2 linked regions of the Elephas maximus indicus genome follow. The protein of the gene in region 1 purifies or fractionates together with the protein of each later gene. This does not show direct contact. Links are inferred from orthologs where the notes say so. Each region holds a gene or a part of one and is shown in the gene's direction. Other genes may lie near its edges.

Region 1 (6,880 bases):
CAACCCTATAGGCCAGAGTAGAACTGCCCTATAGGGTTTCTGAGGCTGAAACCTTCGTGGAAGCTGACTGCCACATTTTTCTCCCGTGGGGCAGCTGGTGGGTTCGGACCACTAGGTAACAGCTGAGTGCTTAACCCCTGCACCACCAGGGCTCTTTGTCACGTGATAGGCACTCAATAAATTTTTGCTTAATCTGAACATTGGTCTCCTTAATCAAGTATCTGCTATGCAGGTGTGAAAAACAAGCAAGCAAACAAGAAACAGAAACCTGCCATGGTTTTCTGTTACCTCCTGGCTGAAGTAAGCATTCTTTACTACGAGACTATTTCTTCAATAAAGAGATTCCCAGCTACACGTGTAGCCACCCTGTTCCTATTGCTTACATTTGCCGCAGGCAGGTGAACTGACTCTGACAGCTCCCAGGACATGCCTGACTTCCCTGCTCCATGCTTTTAGCTCTTTTTGTGCCCCGCCCTCGGAAGCCCCCCACCCCTCACTGAATCCTAGCCAGCCTTTACACCACGGGCAAATGCTGTCTTCTCTGCGAAGTTTCTCCAAGTCTCCTCAGAGTGACTCTACCTTCCCTGTCTCCCACAGTGCCCCTTGTGGCACTGACCATATTCAGACTTTTCATTGCAGTCATCCGCTCTGGTGGCTCTCTTCTGACGTCCATTTTTTTTTTTTTTTAAAGAATATTTCAACTTTTATTTCTAGGATACATTCATCTGGAAACTTTTTGTTTCTTTACAGTTTTCCTCCTAAGAGAAATGAATACATTAAAAATATAATCCAACTACCAGCAATGTTTGTAACCAGAAAAGAATCTAAAATCTCTGGTGTGATGATATAGGATTTAAAAAAGAAAAAAAACTTCATACCAGAAATAAAGCCTGAATATTCTCTTTTCTTTAAAAATATAGTTTTTTTCTTTACTTTTCCATGTAAATTTTATAATCAAACATTTAGTTCTAAAGTCTATTTTTAAGTCAGCAATTACAACACTAGAGCATTGCTTTCTTTCCACTTTGTATCCTGTTCTGTGCTATGAATCAACTAATAATTGAAGAAGTCTTAAAAATGAGATGCCACCAGGCGATAGCAAGATTCACGATATACTGACCATAAAATAAACTCCCCAGTAGCGAACTGAAATCTATTTACAGGTTGTATTCTATTACGTTTATGAAATGAGCACGTATAGGAAGCACTTTTGCGAACTGTAAAGCTATTTTTTTAAATTTATTTTGCCTGGAAAGATTGGGATGAGGTGTCAGGGACACACGGGTGTGAAACCTAGTCCTTTTTTTCCAAAACTACTTAGATTTGTGGGGGGAGAATAATAACTGCAAAGAAGTTGGGGGTATGGATGCAGGGATTTCTCTTAAAGATTGATTGGTTTGCAGCAATGTACTATTTTTCTTAACTGAGAATAAAAAAGTGGGGAGGGCAAAGTAACAGCTCTCTATAGACCAATACTTTACACCAGACTGAGAGGTCAGGCCGTCTGTTTCCAAATGGGAATAAGAAACAAGAGAGCTTGGATGGTTTCTTCCCCACTTCCGAATAGGTCCTCTATGCAGAATTTCATTACTTGAAGTATAGTCTATCCTAAAACAGTATTCAAAAACTCAACACAAATAGTTTGAGGATGGTTTCCCTTCTTTAGGAAGATAATCAAAGAGCCAAACTTAAACATGTACATAACATACCTGAACCACAGAGTAACACCTTCCTCCTACTCCTACAACTTTTTTAGGGTATTTGTAATACATGGAAAGGTAAGTAAAGAATGGAGACCTGGTGGTGCAGTGGTTAAGAGCTCGGGTGGCAGTTCGAATCCACCAGCCGCTCCTTGGAAACCCTATGGGGTGGTTCTACTCTGTCCTATATGGTCGCTATGAATCAGAATTGACTTGAGGGCAACAGGTTTTTTTTTTTAAGTTTTTTTTAAAGAATAAAGAAGCTCAGTAACAATATCAGTGAGGGTTTTCCTCTCCTTTGCAAAAACAAAAACAACCCATTGCCATCAAGTCAATTCTGACTCATAGCCACCTTATAGGACACAGTAAAACTGCCTCATGTCTCTCCAGTCTTTTTAATGACCTTTGCTTTTTTCATGTATGGTGCTCTTGATGTCATCCCACAACTCATCTGGTCTTTGGTCATTAGAACTCAATGTGTCAAAGCTGCTCTTGAGATGGTCTCTAAATTCAGGTGGGATATACTCAAAGTTGTACTTTGGCTTTCCTGGGCTTGTTTTAATTTTCTTCAGCTCCAACTTGAACCTGCATAAGAGCAATTGATGGTTTGTTCCACAGCTGGCCCCTGGCTTTGTTCTTACTGATGATGTTGAGCTTCTCCGTTGTTTCTTTCCATAAATGTAGTCGAGAGGTCCACGTGTATAAACCAAAACAAACAAAAACCAAAAAACCAAACCTGGTGCTGATGAGTTGATTCCAACTCACAGAGACCTGTAGGACAGAGTAGAACTGCCCCATGGGGTTTCCAAGGCTGTAAATCTTGACAGAAGCACTTTGCGGGAGAAAGATGTGGCAGTCTGCTTACACACAGGTAACAGCCTTGGAAACCCTACGGGGCAGTTCTACTCTGTTCTGTAGGGTCGCTATGAATCAGAATCAACGCGATGGCAACAGGCTGGTTTTATACCTAGAAGTGGGGTTGCTGGATCATACGACAGCTCTATTCTTACTTTTTTGAGAAAGCGCCATACTGTTCTACATTTCTCAGTCTCAGCAGCAACAGATAAGGGTTTCAGTGTCCCCACATCCTTGACGACATTTGTTACCTGTTTTTTTTTTTTAATCAATGCCACTTTTGGGGGAGGAGAGGGATAAGAGGGTTTCTCATTGCAGTTTTCATTTGCATCTCTAACAGCTAAGGACAGCCCTCGTGGCCCAGTGGTTAAGAGCTCGGCTGCTAACCAAAAGGGTCGGCAGTTCAAATCCACCAGCCGCTCCTTGGAAGCCCTATGGGGCAGTTCTACTCTGCCCTATAGGGTCGCAATGAGTTGTAACTGACTCGTCAGCACCTGACAACAATGACTAATGCTTGTGAACATCTTTTCATATGTTTGTTGGCCGCGTGGATGTCCTATCTGGTGAAGATTCTGTTCACGTTCTTTGCCCATTTTGTGACTGGGTTGCCTTTTTGCTGTTGAGCTGTTGCAGTTTTCTATAGATTTTAGAGATTAGACCCTTTTTGGAAGTCATTTCCAAAGATTTTTTTTCCCAGTCTTTAGGTTGTCTATTTACTGTTTCAATAAAGTCTTTTGATGAGGGTAAGTTTTTTTTTTTTCTTAACCTTACGAGGGCCCATTTATCTATTTTCTTCCTGCATTTGTTGTATGTGTTATCCTATTCTTATACAGGTCCCACAGTTTTCTCCCTGTATTGTCTTGCAGGAATTTTAGGGTGTTAAGATTAACATTTAGGTCTTTGATCCATTCTGAGTTAAATACAGCTGCGGAACCCAAAGGAAAGTAGCCATTACACAGACTAACTCCCGCTCGCTGGGTGCTTCGGGTTCCTCAGGCGGAGAAGGGGGTGATCAGTCTCCTAGAGTGCCTACCTCACAGGGCGAGAGTCAGAGGAAGAAGCGGGTGGAGAAGGGTCTAGGTCAGCACAGCGGGCTGGACAGGTGTACGTTCCGTTACGACCTGAGGGCCGCAGGTAGGGGGTGGGGAAGTAGAGTCACTGAGTCCGCCGCGCCAGAAGGCCGACGGAAGGGACGCAGGAACCAGAGTGCAGGGGTCGCGGGATCCGGGGAACCGGAGACTCAGAGGCGCCAGCCCCGCCCACCTCTCGGAGACGTGCCCTCCCCACACTCTCTGCGCGCGACCCGGAAGCGGAAGTGAGCTCCCGTCTTCCTCTCCGGGCGTCCCTCTTGCGTCTTCCGGCCTGTGGCAACGGGAGCGGCGGTTCGCGGCGTGTGGTGCGGCGGCGCGGAGCCCTGAGGGCCCGGCTGAGCTGCAGTCATGGCGGATGTGACCGCCCGCAGCCTGCAGTACGAGTACAAAGCGGTGCGTGAGGGCTAGGGGAAGACTCCGGGCGAGGGAGCCGGGTGGGGAGCGAGAGGCCGAGGAAGGCCGGCGCGCGAGCCGCGAAGGTGGAGGGAGGTTGAATCGGGCGCAAGTGGGGCTGCACGGCCTGTGGGCGCCCGCTGGGCCTGGCGGGCGGGACGGCCGGGGCCTCCTCGGAGGGCTTCCCCGGGCCCCTGAGCGCCGGCCGGGCCCTGCGGACACTCGCCGCCCAGGCCGGCCGTCGCGCGCTGTGTGGGCGGCGGGGGGTCAGGTCGCTCGACGGGCCGAGCCCAGAGCCGAACTCGGCCCTTGATCCGCCGCAGTCTCGCGCGGTGCCGTCGCTTCTGAAGGAAACTGTTTATTTACTCCGTCTGGGGACTGTTAGCACTTGGTGGCCTCGGCCCGTCCTGAGGTATTACCAGCTCTTGTCCCCGTAATTAGCAGCTGGCCCTGTTCACGTCAGAGCTCCGACAATGTGATCTTTCCAGAACTCGAATCTCGTCCTCCAAGCTGACCGCTCGCTCATTGACCGCACCCGCCGCGATGAACCCACAGGAGAGGTGCTGTCTCTGGTTGGGAAGCTGGAGGGCACCCGGATGGGGGATAAAGCTCAGCGGACCAAGCCGCAGATGCAGGAGGAGAGAAGAGCCAAGTGAGTACCAAGGGAAAGCTTTTTTCTTCACATTTAGAGCCCGTGTTTTCTTTAGCATTTGAGTTTCAAGTATATTTTGCAGAAATGCTTGGTGCAAGGTGACACCTCGGTGGTTATTAAATTATCTTAGTGAAGGTAAACACAGAACGCAAGAGCTAAAGGGTCTTTGGCCTAGGTGAGTACATTTGCAGTGGAAAATAACTCTTTGTTACTTTTTTTTAGTAATCTCTTTCTGGTCCACATACAGATCTTTTCTTATGGGGTATTTTCAAGTTTCCTTGTCTCAGTAACTTTTCTTCTTCCATTATTAACTTTTCACCTCAATTTCTTTCTTCTGCTTTTGCCTACTCCCAGCTATTTTGTTGTTACAACTAACATTTAGTGGTCATATTACTAAAGGTGCTTTGTTTCCTTTTAGTTTTCTTTACTTTTTGAGGTATTTCAAAACCTAGACAATGATTGAACTTTATCTCACCGTTTTTTTCCGAACATCTCTGTGTTTCCTCCATTCTCTGTGATAAAGTCTCAAAAATTCCTAGGCCCACTTTTGATTAAAGTAGTTATATTTGAAATGAGTGAATAGATTATTAGTTTTCCATTTTGCAGCATATGACCTCTTTTCCAATTTTATTGTACCTTGTTGGGAGTTTGTAAGAATGGCATGGTGGCAGTGTCACCCTTCTTTTTGTCTCACTTTATGATTAGGGAGAGCTTCACCATCAGCATCAGCCAGCTGATCGCTATGAGATGGAGGTCAGACAGCCCTTGATCCTCCAGTCTTTTTACCAGTTCTGACACCGGCCAGCCCTCTCAGGAGCTGTCTGCTGCTCTGCTGAGTTCGATAACTCATTGCAGTGGCTACCGTGTTGTCTGGTGCTGGTCTCCTGGTTCTGCTGCTGCCGTTTCCCTGCTGCAGCACTGTCTCCGACATTGGAGCTCTCTTTCTCTGTCTCCTGGGTCTAGGAGGTTCTCAGCGCAGGGACGCCATGTCCAAAGGATGCACTCTGCTCCCATCTCTTCTTCTTGGTGGTAGTGAAGCCCCGCTCTGTTCTGGGATGAGCTCATTTTAAGCATGGTGGGATGGCAAAACTGATAGTCCCCTCATTAGGGGGCCACGTACCATATGTGCGTGGTTCCACCCCCACGGGTGCCACACACCTTATTTGCATTTTTAGCAAGCTGTCCAGTCCCCTTGGTGGACCACAAGCACTTTCTTTCTGTAGTCACATTCAGTCATTTGGTGGAAGTTATGAGACCATGCTTAGAAAGGCCACATAAAATCAGTCCTCACACCGCAGGAGTCAAGAGCAGTGGATTCCTTTGGAGCTTCCGTTTCTCTGGCTAGGAAAAGGAAATGTCTATGAGAGGTGAAAAACTAGCCAGGATCAGGTTACATAAGATCTTCATACGAAGTGATTCTTTTAAATGAATGAGGAGGCTATCTCATTGTATCGATTAGCGCAGCTGGTGCACCATAGGGCTCCTTTTCTGTCGATGAGTCCCATCAAGAAATGTCTCGTGCTAGGGACTTAAGGTCAAGTGGGAATCATCTGCTGAGGTACAGGTTTCTCTTTTCAGATATAGGTGTGTATCACAAAACTGAAAAAGAGGGGTGTGGGTTTGATTTAGCCTTCGCTTGGCGAGGGAAGCTTCTCTCTGTTGAACATCATATTGTGTGTCCATTAGGCGAAGAAAGCGTGACGAGGACCGGCATGACATCAACAAGATGAAGGGCTATACCCTGTTGTCGGAGGGCATTGACGAGATGGTGGGCATCATCTATAAGCCCAAAACTAAGGAGACCCGGGAGACCTATGAGGTGCTGCTCAGCTTCATCCAGGCTGCGCTCGGGGACCAGGTGAGGCAGCCAGAGCGTGAGGACCGGCATTTGGAAGGGAGAAGGTCACAGCTGGGATCACTGAAGAGCCTTGTCTCTGGATCTGCCTGTATGGGCCACACCAGTTGGCAGAAGGACTAATAACGGCGGCCCACGTTAAGTGACCGTTTTTTTCATGTGGGATGGCGCTTTCCGTGCCTGTTCTCTTTTAGGTCTCACATTCGCTCTGTGAGATAAGGTGCAGTTAATACTCATTTTCCATTTTACGGAAGAGTGACGTGAGGCACAGAATAGTAATTTCCCCAAGTCACAGAGGTTGTATTTGGCAGAGCCAGGATGAACCCAGGTAGTC
Region 2 (7,865 bases), on another chromosome or scaffold:
TTGAAGGTTTATGGGATAGTGGCAGTTGGAGGGAGAGAGGCAGGGACAAAGACTGGGAGGCGAGAGAGCACAGCCTGGACTAGAGAATGGGTAAGGAGTATGGGGTGTGTAGCCAAAGGTTGGAGAGCAAGAGCTGGAATGCTTTGTGGTCTCAACCTTGATAGCTCGATAGGCAGGACTAGGAAGGCAGATGGTATGTCGTGGTGAAATTCTGAGATTAATCTGCAGCTAGGTGATGGAAAAGTCTAGGCTGGGGCTGGTAGGGAGCAGATTTGGTTTGGGTCAGAGAGCTCGCAACTCCTGTGATCACCCTCACAGTCTTCCCCGTCCCTCCAGGCAACAGGACCTGTATCGCATCCTGAAGGCCTACACCATCTACCGGCCCGATGAGGGTTACTGCCAGGCCCAGGCCCCAGTGGCTGCAGTGCTGCTCATGCACATGCCTGCTGAGGTCAGCATAGGCTTGTCCTGGTGGGGGTGGGCTGGGAGCATCTTGGCCTACAGTGGTGATGGAGGAGCTCCCCGATCTCTTTCTCAGGTCCCATCCCTCCCTCCTTATTCTTGCCCTTCCCAGCAAGCGTTTTGGTGCCTGGTACAGATCTGCGACAAGTACCTCCCTGGCTACTACAGTGCAGGACTGGTGAGTGGAGGCTGGGTGCACCTCGGGCTGTAACTTTTCCCCAAGGCTGCAGGGAAACCCTTACCCTGCCTCACACTGCCCTTCAGTCCCTGTCTTTGGGCATCTCCTCACTGGGGTGAGCATCCACTCTCAGGGCTAGGTCTATCCCTAGGGGGCCGAAGCAGGCCAGGCCCTCCTCTCATGACTTGTTACTCCTCCAGGAGGCCATTCAGCTGGATGGAGAGATCTTTTTTGCGCTATTGCGCCGGGCGTCCCCATTGGCACATCGGCACCTGCGGCGGCAGCGCATTGACCCTGTGCTCTACATGACAGAATGGTTCATGTGTATTTTTGCCCGCACCCTGCCCTGGGCCTCAGTGCTGCGTGTCTGGGACATGTTCTTCTGTGAAGGTACATCTGTGGCCATGCAGGCCCTGAGGGGCTGGGGCTTCTGTGGTGACTGCCAGAGGGCCCTGTCACATTTCTCATGGCCCCATGACAGAAGGTAGTTGTTGGGCCTAGGCTTCAATGTAAGCAGCCTGGAGGCTGGAGGAACTGAGGCCTGATCTTTGGCTGTGCCACCAACCCAGGGCTGCTCTTCCTCCCAGGAAGCAGAAACCCGTGGCAACTCATTTTCCTTCTCGGGCCTCAATTTCCTCATCTGTAAGATTTAGCAGTAAGAGGGATGGGGGCTGTGAGTCCCTACTAAATGGGACTGGCTGAGATCCGGGGCCTGATCCCCCCATGCTCTCTTCTGGCCCTCTAGGCGTCAAGATCATCTTCCGAGTGGCCCTGGTGCTCCTGCGGCACACGCTGGGCTCTGTGGAGAAGCTGCGCTCCTGCCAAGGCATGTATGAGACCATGGAGCAGCTGCGCAACCTGCCGCAGCAGTGCATGCAGGAGGACTTCCTTGTGCACGAGGTAGGACTTGACTCTACACACTCCACATCTGCTTTGGCCCATCCATGCACCTCTTTTTCATTCTGCAACCCATTTCCTCTCTTTCTAGGTGACCAACCTCCCAGTGACAGAGGCACTGATTGAGCGAGAAAACGCAGCGCAGCTCAAGAAGTGGCGGGAAACCCGGGGGGAGCTGCAGTATCGGCCCTCACGGAGATTACATGGCTCCCGGGCCATCCATGAAGAGCGGCGACGGCAGCAGCCACCTCTGGGCCCCTCTTCCAGCCTCCTCAGCCTCCCTGGCCTCAAGAGCCGAGGCTCCCGGTTAGGTGGTGGGGCGCCCTCTCCACCCCCTCCTGCCCGAAGGGCCAGTGCTGGGCCTGCCCCAGGGCCTATGGTCACTGCTGAGGGACTGCATCCATCCCTTCCCTCACCTACTGGCAACAGCACCCCCTTGGGTACCAGCAAGGAAGCCCGGAGGCAGGAGAAAGAGCGGCAGAAACAGGAAAAGGAGAGTGAGAAGGAGCGGCAGAAACAGGAAAAGGAGAGTGAGAAGGAGCGGCAGAAACAGGAGAAAGAGCGGGAGAAGCAGGAGAAGGAGCGGCAGAAGTGGGAAAAAGAGCAGGAGAAGGAGCAGCAGAAACAGGAGAAGGAGCGGCAGAAGCTGGAGAAGGAACGGCAGAAGCAGGAGAAGGAACGGCAGAAGCAGGAGAAGAAGGCCCAAGGCCGGAAGCTTTCGCTGCGTCGAAAGGCAGATGGGCCCCCAGCCCCTCAGGATGGTGGGGACAGGTCCTTGGCATCTGAGGCCCGGCAGGATGCGTACTTCTGACCTCTGCCCTGGGGCTGGACTGCATGGCCCCCCTTTTCCCCTCAGCCAAGAGCAGGCCTGGCCTGGGCTGCTGCCCCCAGCCCCCTTGGTAGGCCGTCCTTCTCAGAGGAAGGTGGCTTGATACCCTATCTCCTCATGCCAGCTGCTGATCCTACACAGCCAAGACAGAGTGCATGGGGCAGCTGCATTTCCCTGAGGCAGCCAGGAGCAAATCTGGAGCCCCTTACCTCCAGACAGACCCAGCCAGGGTCTCTGTCACTCCTGCCCCAACTCCCTGTGGGGTCCCCCTCCCCGGTGCTGTCCTGGTTGATTTCTTGTCATTACGGGGGTGACTCTTGGTGATGGGAGTCTGCAGTTTTCAGATTCTTACACTCCAGTGGCTTCCCTTACCTATGAGGTGGAGCTGGGTTCCCTTTTCCTTCCTCCAGTCCTGCCAGTCCCCACTTCTTGGCTGGGGGCCAAGGTTCTCCTTGATCTATTTCTGGACATCTCTGTTATAATTATGTACAGAGGACCTGGCCAGCCTGGGGGGGGAATGCTCACTCCATCTTCTGCTCTTCGGTTCTCCTTCCACAATGCTCGTGTCCCAGTTTATTTAAGGGGACATGCACTGGAACAGGAAATGTCCCCCACCTCCCCACCCCTGCCCTCATGCTCTCCCTCCTCTGTGTTCTCAGGCCTCCCCTGCTTTGTCTCACGAGGGCCCCTACCTTTCACCTTGTTTCCTTCCATCCCCTATCAGAGGAGTCTTCCCTTGAGGTCCAGGGGTGGAACCCTATGTTTACATTTTCTTCTGTCCCTGCCCCCGCCCTGTGCGTGTGGCGCTTTGAGGAACCGGAAAAGAACCTGCTGTTGTACCTGGGCTTGTCTTCTGCCTTGTTTTTTGATGAAGGAGGTGTGGGGGTAATGGCTAGGGAGGAAGGGAAGACAGACAGGACCTGGGTCTCTATCAAAGCAGTCTGCTGGTCTTGGCAGGTGCCTCTTGGCCTTTGGTCCATCTCAGTCGCTCATCAACAAACTGGTTGAGCTCCTGCCTCAGCTTTGCCTGGAATTTGCTCTCTCCATTGTCACTGGTCTGGAGCCCTCTACGCTTTTCCTGCAGCACCCAGATCTCCTTCCTAAAGCACTCATGCAGCTCCTAGAAGCCTGAGGGGGTACTGAGTGAGGGTGGCTAGAAAGCCACAGCTCTCTGAGAGTGAGCTGGGCTCCTGGCCAGTCGCCTGGCACACTTTCCTGTACTGGGGACTCCAGAGAGGGTAGCAGTGCTGCCAGCCGGCTCCAGCTCACTCTGGCCAGTGCCCATGCCAGGCCCTCCAGCTCTTGGTTTTCTGTAGCCAGCTGATAGGTCCATGCCACCCTCTGTGCCCTCCACCTCAGGGGTCAGAACCTTAAAGGTGTAGGATTCCATGTTGGATTCCACGGCTCCAAGGTGTGGCTCCACCTGGCAGTTCTCCAACAGGACGAGGCTTAGGTGTGTGCTGTCTGCCTGGTGCTCCAGGTAGGTTTCCATGGAGGAGGAACAGCAGCACTGGTAGCTGGTGTTTTGGACCCCATTCTTTAGCAAGAAGCCATCCCGATCTGGGACCTGTGCTCTGACCCCCAGAATAAAACAGACTCTAGGTGAGGTTTCACGGTGGTTTAATCCAGGGAGCGGGAGAGAGGAGGGGCCAGATGGTCGCCCTAGGTGCCCCCTGCTGGTGTCCTCTGGCTTCAGCAGGCTTCTGAGCACTAGCCTAGTGGGATTCAAGCTCCTGAGTGTCCACTAGAGTTTGGGACCTCTTTACCACAGTAATGGGACCCACTCCTCCCACCTCCCAACCCCACCCCCTTGGGCCAAGCTCCCAGCACCTGGGCTTTGTTTGCTAAGGGTGGGGGCTTTATCCTGCGCTGCACTTCGAGAGAGGTACTGCTACCCTTTTGCAGGCCTACCTGAGAGGGACAGGAGAGGCCTCTGGCCTGGGTACTTGGCTACCTCTCCTGTTGGTGGCTTTCCCACCTGAGAAACCAGGAGCCGTTCTGGGGGTAGGTGTGGAGCAAATGACTTCCCTTGGGGCCTAAAGGGAGCTCGGTGTTTGAGAGACCTAGGAGTGGTCAGGGGCCACAAAGTGGGCCATCAGAAGAGTCGAGCAGGCTTCCCCAGAGAAAAGGCTCCGTCTCTTGACACTAAGAACGGAGCAGACAGCTGGGAGTGGGCAGGGATGATTTCTCCTCAGATGGTGGGCGTAGAGCCCTTAGCTAGCTGTGGAAAAAGGGTGATCGAACCCTGAAAAGGTAACCGGCTAGGAATGTACTGGACCTGCTCGGACTCTGCCCCTCCATGCTGACTCTGGGCGCCCCTTGAATTAGAGCGCACTCCACTTTCTCCCCAAAACCTCTACTGCTGCCTGAGGGGATCCACACCACCTCCCTCGCCGGATCCGAGTCTAAGCGGTCATACGATCCCTTTTTGTCATTTCGCCAGTTTACGTCACTTCTGGCAGGTCGTCCCTCGCTCATTGCATACTTCCGCCCGCTCTTTCAGTTAGTTCTCTAACCGGAGTGAAGTCACTTCCAGCTTCCCTGGCGCCTTCGGCAGTTCTCTTCCGGGTGATGGCGGTCAGGCGCCCCGGATATATCCCTAGCGAAAGCATCTCTTTTTTTCTTCCCCCGTCTCCCCTGGAGCCCCAGGTGAGCGCGCGCCAGTGGGACTTCCTGAGTCTCCCCTGGCTTTGCAGCCCCTCTAGTTTGTATACATAGCACCGGCAGTTGGAGGTCTCCCCGCGGGGTTGGGAGTTTGGGCGCTAGGAGGAGTGGGGCGGCCAGGGCTCCAGATCCTGGGGCTGCGTGGGCCCCGCGGGCTCTGGGGACCCTGAGGGGCCAGCTGTCAGCCCCCAGAGTGCCGCCGTGCCTAGGACTGCGGGAGCCGGGGAGGGGGTGGTCACGTGGGAGAGCCGGTTGCCTCTTCGTTAAAGGTGGGAATACCATGGGGAGATACCCTCTCTTCCGGTTCCAGCACCCTCTGGAATCCCGAACCAAGGGAGTTGCCTGGCTGCCAGCTCCCTTTTCGGACTCATCCTGTGCTCCCTCCCCTCCCGAACAGGATGTACCTGGTGAAATGTTTGTTGTGGGGGTGGGAGCGGGGCTCTCTCGCCTGAGTCCCCTCCTCGCCCCTCCAGTTCTCTTACCTCGCCTGCTTTCTCTCAGCACAGTTTAGAGAAGCCTTCTCTGCCCCGTCATGCCAAAGAGGAAAGTGACTTTCCAGGGCGTGGGAGATGATGATGATGATGATGAGAGTGAAATCAGTGTCCCCAAGAAGAAGGTGAGGGGGCCAGACTCCTGTGTTCTGGGACGAGTGAGGGGAGAAAAGAGAAGCTAGAAACTGAAAGAGAAATAAAGCTGAGGACACAAAAAGTGGGTTGGTTTTCGAATATTCTCTGAGGAATGACTTTGAAGAATTTTCAGTTTGGGTCCAAATCCTGGAGTATTTTGGGGAGTAGCCAATATCCCGCATCTCTTGATTTGCTGATTCTTGCTCATAGCTGGTGGATCCTGTGGCTGGGGCAGGGGGTCCTGGGAGCCGCTTCAAAGGTAAACACTCTTTGGACAGCGATGAGGAGGATGACGATGAGGAGGGGTCCAGCAAATACGACATCCTGGCTTCAGAAGATGTGGAGGGTGAGTTATACTGAAGATGTGACTCAGCCAGAGGGACAAGGAGGGGCTTCTGGGGCTGTGGGACAAGGGAGGCTCCTGCCTTTTTTTTTTTTTTTTTGGCCACTGCCTCTTTTTGCACACCTAGCATGGAGCATGTGTGTCTTTGGTGCAGGTCAGGAAGCAGCCACACTCCCCAGCGAGGGAGGTGTGCGGATCACACCCTTCAACCTACAGGAAGAGATGGAGGAAGGCCGCTTTGATGCCGATGGCAACTACTTCTTGAACCGGGATGCTCAGATCCGAGACAACTGGCTGGATAACATTGATTGGGTGTGGCCCAGGGGCTGGCATGACTGGGGTCTGTGGGCAGAAAATGTGCAGTCTGAGCCCTGCTGGCAATTTGTAGGGAATAACTTTTCTGTCTTCATATTTACAGGTAAAGATTAGGGAGCAACCACCTGATCAGCATCAGACGTCAGACTCAGAGGAGGAGAACAGCCTGGGCCAGACACCGATGAGTGCCCAAGCCCTTCTGGAGGGCCTTCTGGAGCTGCTGTTGCCGAGGGAGACAGTTGCTGGGGCATTGAGGCGTCTGGGGGCCCGAGGCGGAGGCAAAGGGGACAGCAAAGGGCCTGGGCGGCCCAGCTCCCCACAGCGCCTAGACCGGCTCTCAGGGTTGGCCGACCAAATGGTGGCCCGGGGCAACCTTGGTGTGTACCAGGAGACTCGGGAACGGTTGGCCATGCGGCTGAAGGGGCTGGGGTGCCGGACCCAGGGATCCCATGACCCTGCACCCCCACCCTCTCTGGACATGTTTGCTGAGGAAGTAGCAGAGGAGGAGCTGGAGAGCCCAACCCCTGCCCAAAGAGGAGGTAAGCTTGGAGGGCAGAAGAGGGGTGTTGTGGGCAGAAGGCATGGTGGTTGAGGCCCAGATTGCTTTTCCTCTTATTTTAGAAGCAGAGTCGCCAGGGGATGGTCTAGTGGATGTGATGTGGGAATACAAATGGGAGAACACACGGGATGCTGAGCTATATGGGCCCTTTACCAGTGCCCAGATGCAGGTAAGTCCTTTTCTACCTAGTTCTGCCTTGTGCTTCCCATCCCCCACCTCCACAGCTCCTCCCCTAGCTCTGCCCTCTCTCCCTGCAGACCTGGGTGAATGAAGGCTACTTCCCTGATGGTGTGTATTGCCGGAAGCTGGACCCCCCTGGTGGTCAGTTCTACAACTCCAAACGGATTGACTTTGACCTCTACACCTGAGCCCACTGAGGGCCGAGTTTAGTGGCCCCTTCTTTCTTGGACTCTGTGGGGGAGGCTCCAGCTGTCTCAGGAAGTGAGGACACTGGGGGCTGCTTCTTTCCGAATAAAAGCCTTTAGTTGTGTATTGGGGCCTTGGCTATGCTGGGACCAGAAGCCGGGGGCCTTCTCCACAATCCCTTTGCACTTGCCTTGCTCCTTTGGGTGTTTCTTCCCATAAAGTTGCTCCTTGGGAGTTTCTCTCTGGTCTCTTGAACCACCTCACCTTTGTTCTCAGGGACTAGGGCCTGGGCCTGTCAACATCCTGCGGCCTCTCCACTTGGACTCTGCTTGCCATCTGAAAATCCATCAGTTACACTATTTTCCAGTCTCCTTTGGGCTTCCCGTTCAGTGTTCTTAGGTTGTTAGCCTAAGAACCAAACCAACCCAAACCCACGGCCATCCAGTTGATTCCAACTCATAGTGACCCACTAGAACAGAATAGAACTGCCTAATACGGTTTCCCAGGCTGTAAATCTTCACAGAAGCAGACTGCCATATCTTTTCTCCTGCAAAGTGGCTGGTGGGTTTGAACTGCAGACCTTTCTTTTAGCAGCCGAGCGCTTTAACCACTGTTCCACCAGGGCT

Evidence for each region.
Region 2: the proteins of SNRNP200 (region 1) and CD2BP2 purify together in Homo sapiens (affinity purification with mass spectrometry; 8 studies listed by BioGRID and IntAct, counting the BioPlex papers as one, with this or other methods). This does not show direct contact. The link is inferred for Elephas maximus indicus from reciprocal best matches to the Homo sapiens genes SNRNP200 and CD2BP2.

What each region holds. Positions count from the first base shown.
Region 1 is NC_064835.1:88,744,411-88,751,290, forward strand, and holds the start of SNRNP200 (U5 small nuclear ribonucleoprotein 200 kDa helicase), read left to right. Parts: upstream 1-3,870; 5' UTR 3,871-3,994; coding exon 3,995-4,039; intron 4,040-4,527; coding exon 4,528-4,691; intron 4,692-6,377; coding exon 6,378-6,549; intron 6,550-6,880. UniProt on the Homo sapiens protein: Catalyzes the ATP-dependent unwinding of U4/U6 RNA duplices, an essential step in the assembly of a catalytically active spliceosome. Plays a role in pre-mRNA splicing as a core component of precatalytic, catalytic and postcatalytic spliceosomal complexes.
Region 2 is NC_064830.1:89,630,588-89,638,452, reverse strand, and holds CD2BP2 (CD2 antigen cytoplasmic tail-binding protein 2), read left to right. Parts: upstream 1-4,874; 5' UTR 4,875-5,015; intron 5,016-5,531; 5' UTR 5,532-5,562; coding exon 5,563-5,646; intron 5,647-5,866; coding exon 5,867-6,002; intron 6,003-6,153; coding exon 6,154-6,311; intron 6,312-6,417; coding exon 6,418-6,853; intron 6,854-6,935; coding exon 6,936-7,042; intron 7,043-7,109; coding exon 7,110-7,241; 3' UTR 7,242-7,363; downstream 7,364-7,865. Other genes in the region: TBC1D10B (TBC1 domain family member 10B), read left to right, coding at 337-451, 575-640, 841-1,030, 1,386-1,540, 1,629-2,348. UniProt on the Homo sapiens protein: Involved in pre-mRNA splicing as component of the U5 snRNP complex that is involved in spliceosome assembly.